Rattus norvegicus: one gene and its partner. The protein of the gene in region 2 binds, or shares a complex with, the protein of the main gene of each other region. Links are inferred from orthologs where the notes say so. Each region holds a gene or a part of one and is shown on either strand. Other genes may lie near its edges. The genes, in order: Eif3l and Eif3d.

Region 1 (4,346 bases), about 1.1 Mb from region 2:
ATTGTTGTCATTACAAACTTCTGAGTTGATTACACCTGTGAGTTAAGATTCAAATAGCAAAGTCATGGCTCTGAGTTTGTAAGAGTACTTTCAAGATAAAATTTAGGATATGGAGACAATAGTTCAGATTACCTTATATAGATAGATGGTTTTCAAAAACGTCAGATATCCACAAAATTTGAGATTTAAAGTTATTTATCTTTCGTTGAGACATATCTGCTCCTAACAGTTCCCCTTTGGCAGATTTAATGAAGAATTTGAACATCTCTACCTCCAGGTGAGGCAATACTTTGTGGTTAGGCAGCCACTGGACAAAACTGCCTATTTCATCCGCAGACTAATACTGTCTAGAGAAGGACAAATTATGCAGAATAGTTGACTGATAAACTCTGCCAAGACAGGGTGATCAGCCCTTCAAAATCTGCATTTCGAGAGTCTGTCAGTTGATTTTGGGCCAGAAGGCTGAAGACTTGCGCTCACATGTTGCTAACAGGGGACTGTGCTAGTGGAGATTTGTCTCTACAACCTCTCAGTTCTGGAAGCCGTGTTAGGCTTCCCATGTGTATAGATATTTGGTCACTCCCAGACAAGCGCTCTACCACTGAGCTAAATCCCCCAATCCCTTGAAAAGGCTTTTTAACTGGACAAAAAGGGGGAAATGTTGTGGTTTGCCCTGAAGTTATCTGTATTTTGATGCTAATTCCACTGCCCCAAGGACAGCTACCTAGTCTCCGGAATCAGATGACTTCACCAGAACCTCCCCATTGAATTTGTAAAGTACAGGTGAGGGGCAGGTACAGGATAGAAGGAGGCCTGTCATTGGAAGAGAAGGAAGGATGGGCAGGAGAGAAGTTTGAAGGAAGAGGAGGAGACTAGAGGAGAAAGGAAGAGACAGGAGAGAGAAGGTGAGAAGCCATGGCAGGTGATGTTAAGATTCTGCTCTGTGTATTTACAGGTTGTTATTAATGTTCCTAAGGGATGGATGGTTCTGGGCTTTGTATGTTTAAGTGGACAATTATATCTTATCAATTGGGTCAAAGAAAAAAACAAACAAACAAAAAACCCCTACGTGTCTCGGGAATTTGTTTTTGCTTTTGGAGACAGGTTCTTATTTATATAGAAGCCTGGCTGACCTTGAACTTGCTATGGCGACCAGGGTGGCCTTGAACTTGTGGTGCTCCTGCTGCCCATGCTTCCCCAGAGTGCATGCGCAACCCATGCCCAGCTTTAACTCTAGTAAAGAGCTCTCACTCTCGTGTTCTGAAAACAGGACACAGACTCCAAGAGTACTCACTGCAGTATGGCCAGCCAACCAAGTCATCCAGCACAGAGTCTTCAGGCTCAGCTCTCAACCGGTGTGTGGGGTGGGGATAGGGGGTGTTTCCTGGCTACTCAGCAGGTCAGTGTTCTTGAAGTCGGAACAGAGGAGACAGGTGTACTTACTTTCTTGTTTAGCTCAATATTCTCCAGCACCTTGATAGCCTGGTAGTAATCCCCCAGTAGAGAATGTAGGCGCAGAAGCCCCACCAGGCTGAAGTAGCCAAGCATCTTGTAGAGGGAGTGTCGTCCATATTCCCCAGCCACACTTTCGGGGTCACCTGTGAGGGACAGATGCCATGCTGTTTCCAAGGGGAAGATAAAACAGGCCAGGCCTCCGAAAAAAAGAATAAAAAAAAAAAAACAAAAACAAACAAAAACAAACAAAACAAAACAAAACAAAAACAAAACAAAACAGGCCAGGCCTGACCACCACTGCCAGGTCCCATGTAACCAGGTAACCTCCTATACCACGGAACACCTCTGCCCAGTAATCTCAGGAACCTGAACCTGGCTGTGTTCCCGGCTTCTGCTGACTAACAGCTGCTTTGAGAAGGGCAGTTCATTTGCTGATTGTTTCTGTTCTTATCCTCACATACCTGTTCCTCTTAAATTTGAGTTTGTTCTTGGAACGAGCTTCTGCGCTCCTCCCAGGTGTAGTGAATAGGAGTGGGTTTATTTCAGACTTGGGTTTGTTATTAAAGTTTCCTGCCTGGCGGTGGACAACCCAGCACTCAGGAGGCAGAGGCAGGTGAATCTGAGTTCAAGGACAGCCTGGTCTATGAGGAGAAACCCTGTCTTGAAACATAAATGGTCTGATGCTCCAAGTAGAGCTGGCTTTTGTAGGAGACTTTGGGCTCCCATTTCCCAGGGTCATACCTACAACTAGAGTGGTGACATATAAATAATCAGAACCTTATGGTTCTCAATAAGGAAGAGCGGGTAAAAGGGCTCAGCATTGGCCCAAGTTTCAATCCTGAAATCCATGTTACGGTAGAAGGCATCAACTTCTGCACGAGCTCACGCGCCCACCATCATTCACACATATTCACAGTATTTTTTTTGGTTTTTTTTTGGAGCTGGGGACCGAACCCAGGGCCTAAGCGCTCTACCACTGAGCTAAATCCCCAACCCACAGTATTTTTTTTAACATATAAGGCATTTCCAACAAAAACTCTGAGCGGTATTAATCCAGACAAAGGTTCAAGACACAGCGGCAGTGGAACAGGCAGATCTCAGACACACTCACCTCCACTGGTGTACACCTCCAGCTGCCGGTTGATGTTGGATTTGTCCACCAGAGAATGCAGCACGTTGAGGACGCTGTGCACGTTCCAGATCTTAGGGTTGGATCTCAGGAAGTCGATCTCTTCCTCTGACTTCTTGGCCGTCTTGCAGCGATACTGACTGAATGACTGGAACTGTTGCAGAAGGAAACAATGTGGCAGGGGCATAAATCCAAGTGACAGTCACATGCGGAGAATGATGTGACACGGGCTTTCATTAAACTTTTCAGAGGTGGAAATAGCAAAGCTATCTGGCTCAGGTGGCCTCAAACTTCCACACATCCTGTTTTTGCCTAAGTACTGGGATGAAGACGAAGGGTATGTCTTCAAGTCACAGCAGATGGTGAAATAAAGCATCAACTGTAGGGCTGGAGAGCTGGCTCAGTGGTAAAGAACACTCTTTCAGAGGTCCTGAGTTCAAATCCCAGCACCCACATGGTGGCTCACAGCCATCTGGAATGGGGATCCGATGCCCTCTTCTGGCACAAAGGTTCCAGATAGAACACTTGCACATGAAAGAAATAAACCTTAAAAAAAAGCATATTACTTTAAGTAACAGATAAATTCATATAAACACCTATGCGCCAATGTCCCGAGACTTACTGATACAAACAGGCACTTTCATGTTATCTGAGGACTGAAAACACTAAACTACACCAAAAAGGGTGGTAGCAAGTGTCTTTAATCCCAGCAGCAGAAGGTAGATGTCTGTGGATTCAAGTGCAGCCAGGTTCACAAAGTGAGTTCCACATAGTAAAACCCTGTCTCAATTTAAAAGAAAAGAGTGCCAAGAAGGTGCCACACCCACTGTCTAGTGTGCTGGCCTGAAGACTCTCAAGGGCACTTACTGACTGATCCTCAAAGCCCTTAACAAAAGAACAGCAGCTAAGCCAAGGGATTATGCTTATCTTGGGATACAGCTTGGCCGGAGGATTCTCCTCCTTTCTCCTGAGTCAAAAGGTCAGCCAACGGGGTTGGGGATTTAGCTCAGTGGTAGAGCGCTTGCCTAGGAAGCGCAAGGCCCTGGGTTCGGTCCCCAGCTCCGAAAAAAAGAACCAAAATAAAAAAAAAAAAAAAAAAAAAAAAAAAAAGAAAATGTGTGCTTGCTGCCTCCTAAGAGGTAAGGTGCTAGGGTCATGGGATGCTGATTCATAGGACAATCGAAGGAATCCTGGAGTAAAAGACAAGACTGATATGTAAAAACAAACAAACAAACAAACAAACAAACAAAAACCGAAAAACCTAGGCGAGGTGAGCCAGCAGAGAGCAATGGCAGTTCTTTAGAATTTTTCTCTACTGAGAGCAGAGTTGTCCGGAGATCTCTGGAGAGCAAAAGCAGCTCTTCAAGAATTCTTTTCTGGGGCTGGGGATTTAGCTCAGTGGTAGAGCGCTTACCTAGGAAGCGCAAGGCCCTGGGTTCGGTCCCCAGCTCCGAAAAAAAGAAAAAAAAAAAAAAAAAAAAAAAAAGGTCAGCCAACTATTCTCTTCAGAAAACCATTCTAACCCAGAGCCCAGAGCCCCAGGGCCTCAGGGCCCCAGGGCCACGCAGCCATGATAGAGACATAATTCAACACCGACTATAGCTACTGTCTGTTGAATTACTTATTTGAGGTTAAGGCTGAGGCTGAACAGACAGACACCTGGTAGATGAACTCATCGATGATGTCCCAGAGCCACTGGTTGGGGAGTTCAAGGGGAGCAGGTCCATCAGCGTCTATAGAGAGAACAAGAAAGTCAGATTCC
Region 2 (3,812 bases):
AACACTGAAGTATAAAGTACTCTGGGACATAAGCTGCATGGGGAATTTACCCTAAGGGTCCACCAGGGCAAACCCCACGCTTGAGTGGGGCAGGGGTGTGTGGAAACACAGATACCACAGGAGAAGTCTAGAAGGCCACTGGCCCCAAGACAATGGCTCCCTAAGCCGTATCTTGATAGCAAGCAATCATCACAGGCTGCCTGGACCTCAGCCTACCCTTTCTCTATTCCGTACAGAGGCAACACCTACCCGTGCCCTTCACTTTAATTCAGGGCACCACACACAGAGCCAGGGAGAAAGGACGTCGCCTGACCTTAAGGTCCTGCAGCACTGGAAATGGATAACGCAAAGAGGACTGTGTGTGCGTGTCTGTCCAGATCTTAGTCTTTGGAGGTCAGCAGTGACAGAACTGGATAAAGAGATCATGAGGTGGCAATGAGGCTGAGTAAAGAAAGAGGCCAGAGCTTCCAAAGATAAGGTGAGGTCAAGATCAGATGCACAGACCACAGGAGCCAATAGCCAGAATGAACAGACTAAAGTGCTTGAAGATAAAGGTAGAAACCTTAACTTAGACTGTTCTACTCTGTTGGCAGTGACGGAAACTTGAGATATCCCTGCACCCACAATGGTTGTGTGAGTACCCAAGAGCCAACCCCACTACACACTGCCGGAACACAACTGTGATGGTGCCTCACCCTGGAGTCCCATTCATTGAGTGTCTTGATGTTGATGAAGGACACTTCCCCGTTGGCCCCAGTCATGACGCCATCATGTTCACAGCGAACAATAAGGTCAATGTCATCTCCAAGCTTCCACCTCCGGTAACTAAGAAGACAGCAAGACTCATTCACTACAAGATCCACTGCCGTGGACGGACCATCCTGGACAGCACAGGACAGGTTCTGTGCTCTAATCTTGGTCAGACCCCCCCCAGAGCCGACATACCGGTAAGCCACGGAGGCGATCTCATTCTTATCCATGTCATCCTCCACAAATGGGTTTGGGTTGGGGAAATTGTATCTCTCTCTCCCCTGCAGAAGTGACAAAGCTTTCAGGAGCTGGGGTTGATAACAAGTGGGCAGACCCAGCATTGCTCTTGACAGCCCTGGCTAGGTGCTTCTGTCCTTGAGGGTGTAGGCTCACTATGTATCAAGGACCAAGCCTAACACACTCCACAGAGTAAGAGCCATCATGTTCCTTCCTGCTTCCCTCTCCACCACAAGCAGACTGCTGAGCTAACAGGAAAGCAAGCAATGCTCTTCATTCAATGTCATATCCTCAAGGCATGGAAAGGCCTTTTATCCAAAGGCATTCCACAGCCTGTCTATGTGACACAGGCATTATTAGTTACTCCATAGAGAGGAAATATGCCTGAGCACACAGACCTTTTTGTGGCTCCAATCCCTGCTACCAGGAGGAGTTGTGCCTGGCCAACCTCACACCACTGTCTAGCACAGAGCAGAGGCTCAGCAGCAGGACCTAACCCAGAAGCCAGTGCATCTGCTCCTGTGTACTCACCATTCTCAGGCACTGCTGGGAGAAGTTGTGGTTGATGTAGGTGGCCTCCATGGCCAGGTTCCGGGGTGAGTTGAAGGAATTGCCTTCATCTTGAGGGGGCTCGTTAGCCGTCTCACTCACAGTCAGGAGGTCTGGAAAAGCCCAAGCATGGATGTCACCCACTCAGGTAGCCAAGAGTCACTGGCAGTGTGCACAGCAGTATGGGTAGAGGTACGGACCTAGATCATAGGGGCCCATCTCCAAAGAACTGCCATCTGCTCACAGAGGATTCCCCCAGAATGTGGCATGCACAGGGAAGTGGAGGCTCACTGAAAACGTTAGGTGCGACCCAACAACACTGGTCACATAGTTCAGTTGTTCCTTCTCATTCTTTCTGGATTCCTCAAGAGAATGTGTCTCTCTTGGCATTTTAACAAATGAGGCTTGAGACTCAAACAGAATCAGACGGCTATAATTCTGTGAGTGATTCATTGACAGTGTGTATATACACATGTGTCATAAAATACACGCATATGCATTCTTCTTTATAGTACAGAGAGGAAGAGGAAACGGAGGACACTTCTATGCATATAGTAACTCACGGCCACAGTGGTGTGAGGACTCAGAGCTGAAGCCCACAGAAGCACCGAAGTGGTCTCTTTGAGTGGACGGGAGAGATCAAAACACTACTCATTCTTAAGTAATTATTCTGAACTGAAAACACCCATGCCTACCAAAGTCAGAATTGTCCCTCTTGTCAAAGAAGAGTTTAGATCCGACCCTCTGGACAACAATGTCCCAGGAGTACACGGAGCGGGTGCAGCTCATCAGTGTGGCCAGGATGGCATCTGTGGCAAACACATTGCCCTGCGTTTTTGCCAGCTGAAAGGAAGGAGAGAGACTAGAGTGAACTGAGGACTCTGAGGTCACTTGGGAAGGAAGATACCCCAGTCACCTGAGGAGGCTGCAGCAAATAGGCTGGGTGAGGCTCTCAGTCACTGCAGCAGGCTGTGGTGGATGCACGGGACACGCTCCACTCAGTAGGTGCCAGCCTAGCTATCCTTCTACCTTTGTATGTAAGAAAGCTAAGGCACCAGGGCAGCAAAGTCAGCCTGGCAGAGCTGGAATTTGAGCATGTCTCTTAACATATTTAAGTGCACCTAGCAACAAGTCTCATCTGTATGATTCAGAACCTCATCTAAGGCTTGGCTATGCACATAGTCAGCTGTTTCTGTGGGATCCACCAGTCCAACATGTCTACCACATGTTCAGGGGGAGAAAGTTTGCCTGATAAACACGTTCACCTTCTATCCGTCAGGTTCCTCAAATAACAGTGTAACAACTGCTTACGTAGTAGTAGCCAATGTCTAGGTGTTGTGAGCAACCCAGAAGGAACTGAAACACGGAAGGAAGATTGCTAGGGCTGACAGGTAAGTCACATCACCGGGACTGGAGCAGCCATGGCTTTTGGTACCTATGGGATGGTCCTGATTCAAACCCTGTGAATACTGAAGGACACCTGCACACCTCATGCCCTGTTCTTTCTCAAGCCTCAGCAACATTCCCAAAAGTGGGCAAAGGGTGCACACCTTCCGGATGACAGGGTCGTCTGTGGTGGTGACAGTGTGGAAGATGCGCTTGATGCTCCGCAGAGGCTTCTCACTCCTCGTGGTGATGCGGTCGAAGGCTTTGTCATAGTACTCCAGTGCTCCACAGCACTCGCTGAGGGGAGAGAGAAAAATCAGAGGTCCGCCCACCTCTTACGCCATGGAGTCAGAAGGCACATCTACTGTGCACGCCAGGCATTGCAGTGGTGCATGTCTATAATCCCAGGATTAGGGAGGCAGATGCAGGAGGATGCCAAGTTTAAATCTCAGCTACAAAGGGAGGCCCATCTCAGAAGTCCAGTACATAGGAAAGAGATGGAACTAATCTCTCTGAAAAAGAGACGAGAGGGCTGGAGAGATGGCTCAGGGGTTAAGAGCACTGGCTGCTCTTCCAGAGGTCCTGAGTTCAATTCCCAGCAACCACATGGTGGCTCACAACCATCTGTAATGAGATCTGGTGCCTTCTTCTACTGTGTCTGAAGACAGCTACAGTATATTCATATAAAATTAATAAAAAAGTATTAAAAAAAAAAGAGAGACAAACTCTAATGCTAGTTTAGCTTCCTGCTTTCTTAGCTCCCATGTTCCTCTGTAGAGCACAGTAAACCTTCCCTGGGGAACTGAGCCCACTATGGAAGCACGCACACGGGTGGACTTCTGGGTTGAATGAAGCTCTCTCCTTGCGCTCTGGTATACAAGGGCAGAAGT

The links.
Region 1: Eif3d (region 2) and Eif3l share a complex: the UniProt entries of both Homo sapiens proteins name them as parts of the eukaryotic translation initiation factor 3 (eIF-3) complex. The link is inferred for Rattus norvegicus from reciprocal best matches to the Homo sapiens genes EIF3D and EIF3L.

What each region holds. Positions count from the first base shown.
Region 1 is NC_086025.1:112,531,557-112,535,902, reverse strand, and holds the start of Eif3l (eukaryotic translation initiation factor 3 subunit L), read right to left. Parts: upstream 2,890-4,346; 5' UTR 2,772-2,889; coding exon 2,567-2,771; intron 1,599-2,566; coding exon 1,444-1,598; intron 1-1,443. UniProt on the Homo sapiens protein: Component of the eukaryotic translation initiation factor 3 (eIF-3) complex, which is required for several steps in the initiation of protein synthesis.
Region 2 is NC_086025.1:111,422,474-111,426,285, forward strand, and holds part of Eif3d (eukaryotic translation initiation factor 3 subunit D), read right to left. Parts: intron 3,220-3,812; coding exon 3,087-3,219; intron 2,380-3,086; coding exon 2,232-2,379; intron 1,650-2,231; coding exon 1,519-1,649; intron 1,032-1,518; coding exon 946-1,031; intron 826-945; coding exon 696-825; intron 1-695. UniProt on the Homo sapiens protein: mRNA cap-binding component of the eukaryotic translation initiation factor 3 (eIF-3) complex, a complex required for several steps in the initiation of protein synthesis of a specialized repertoire of mRNAs.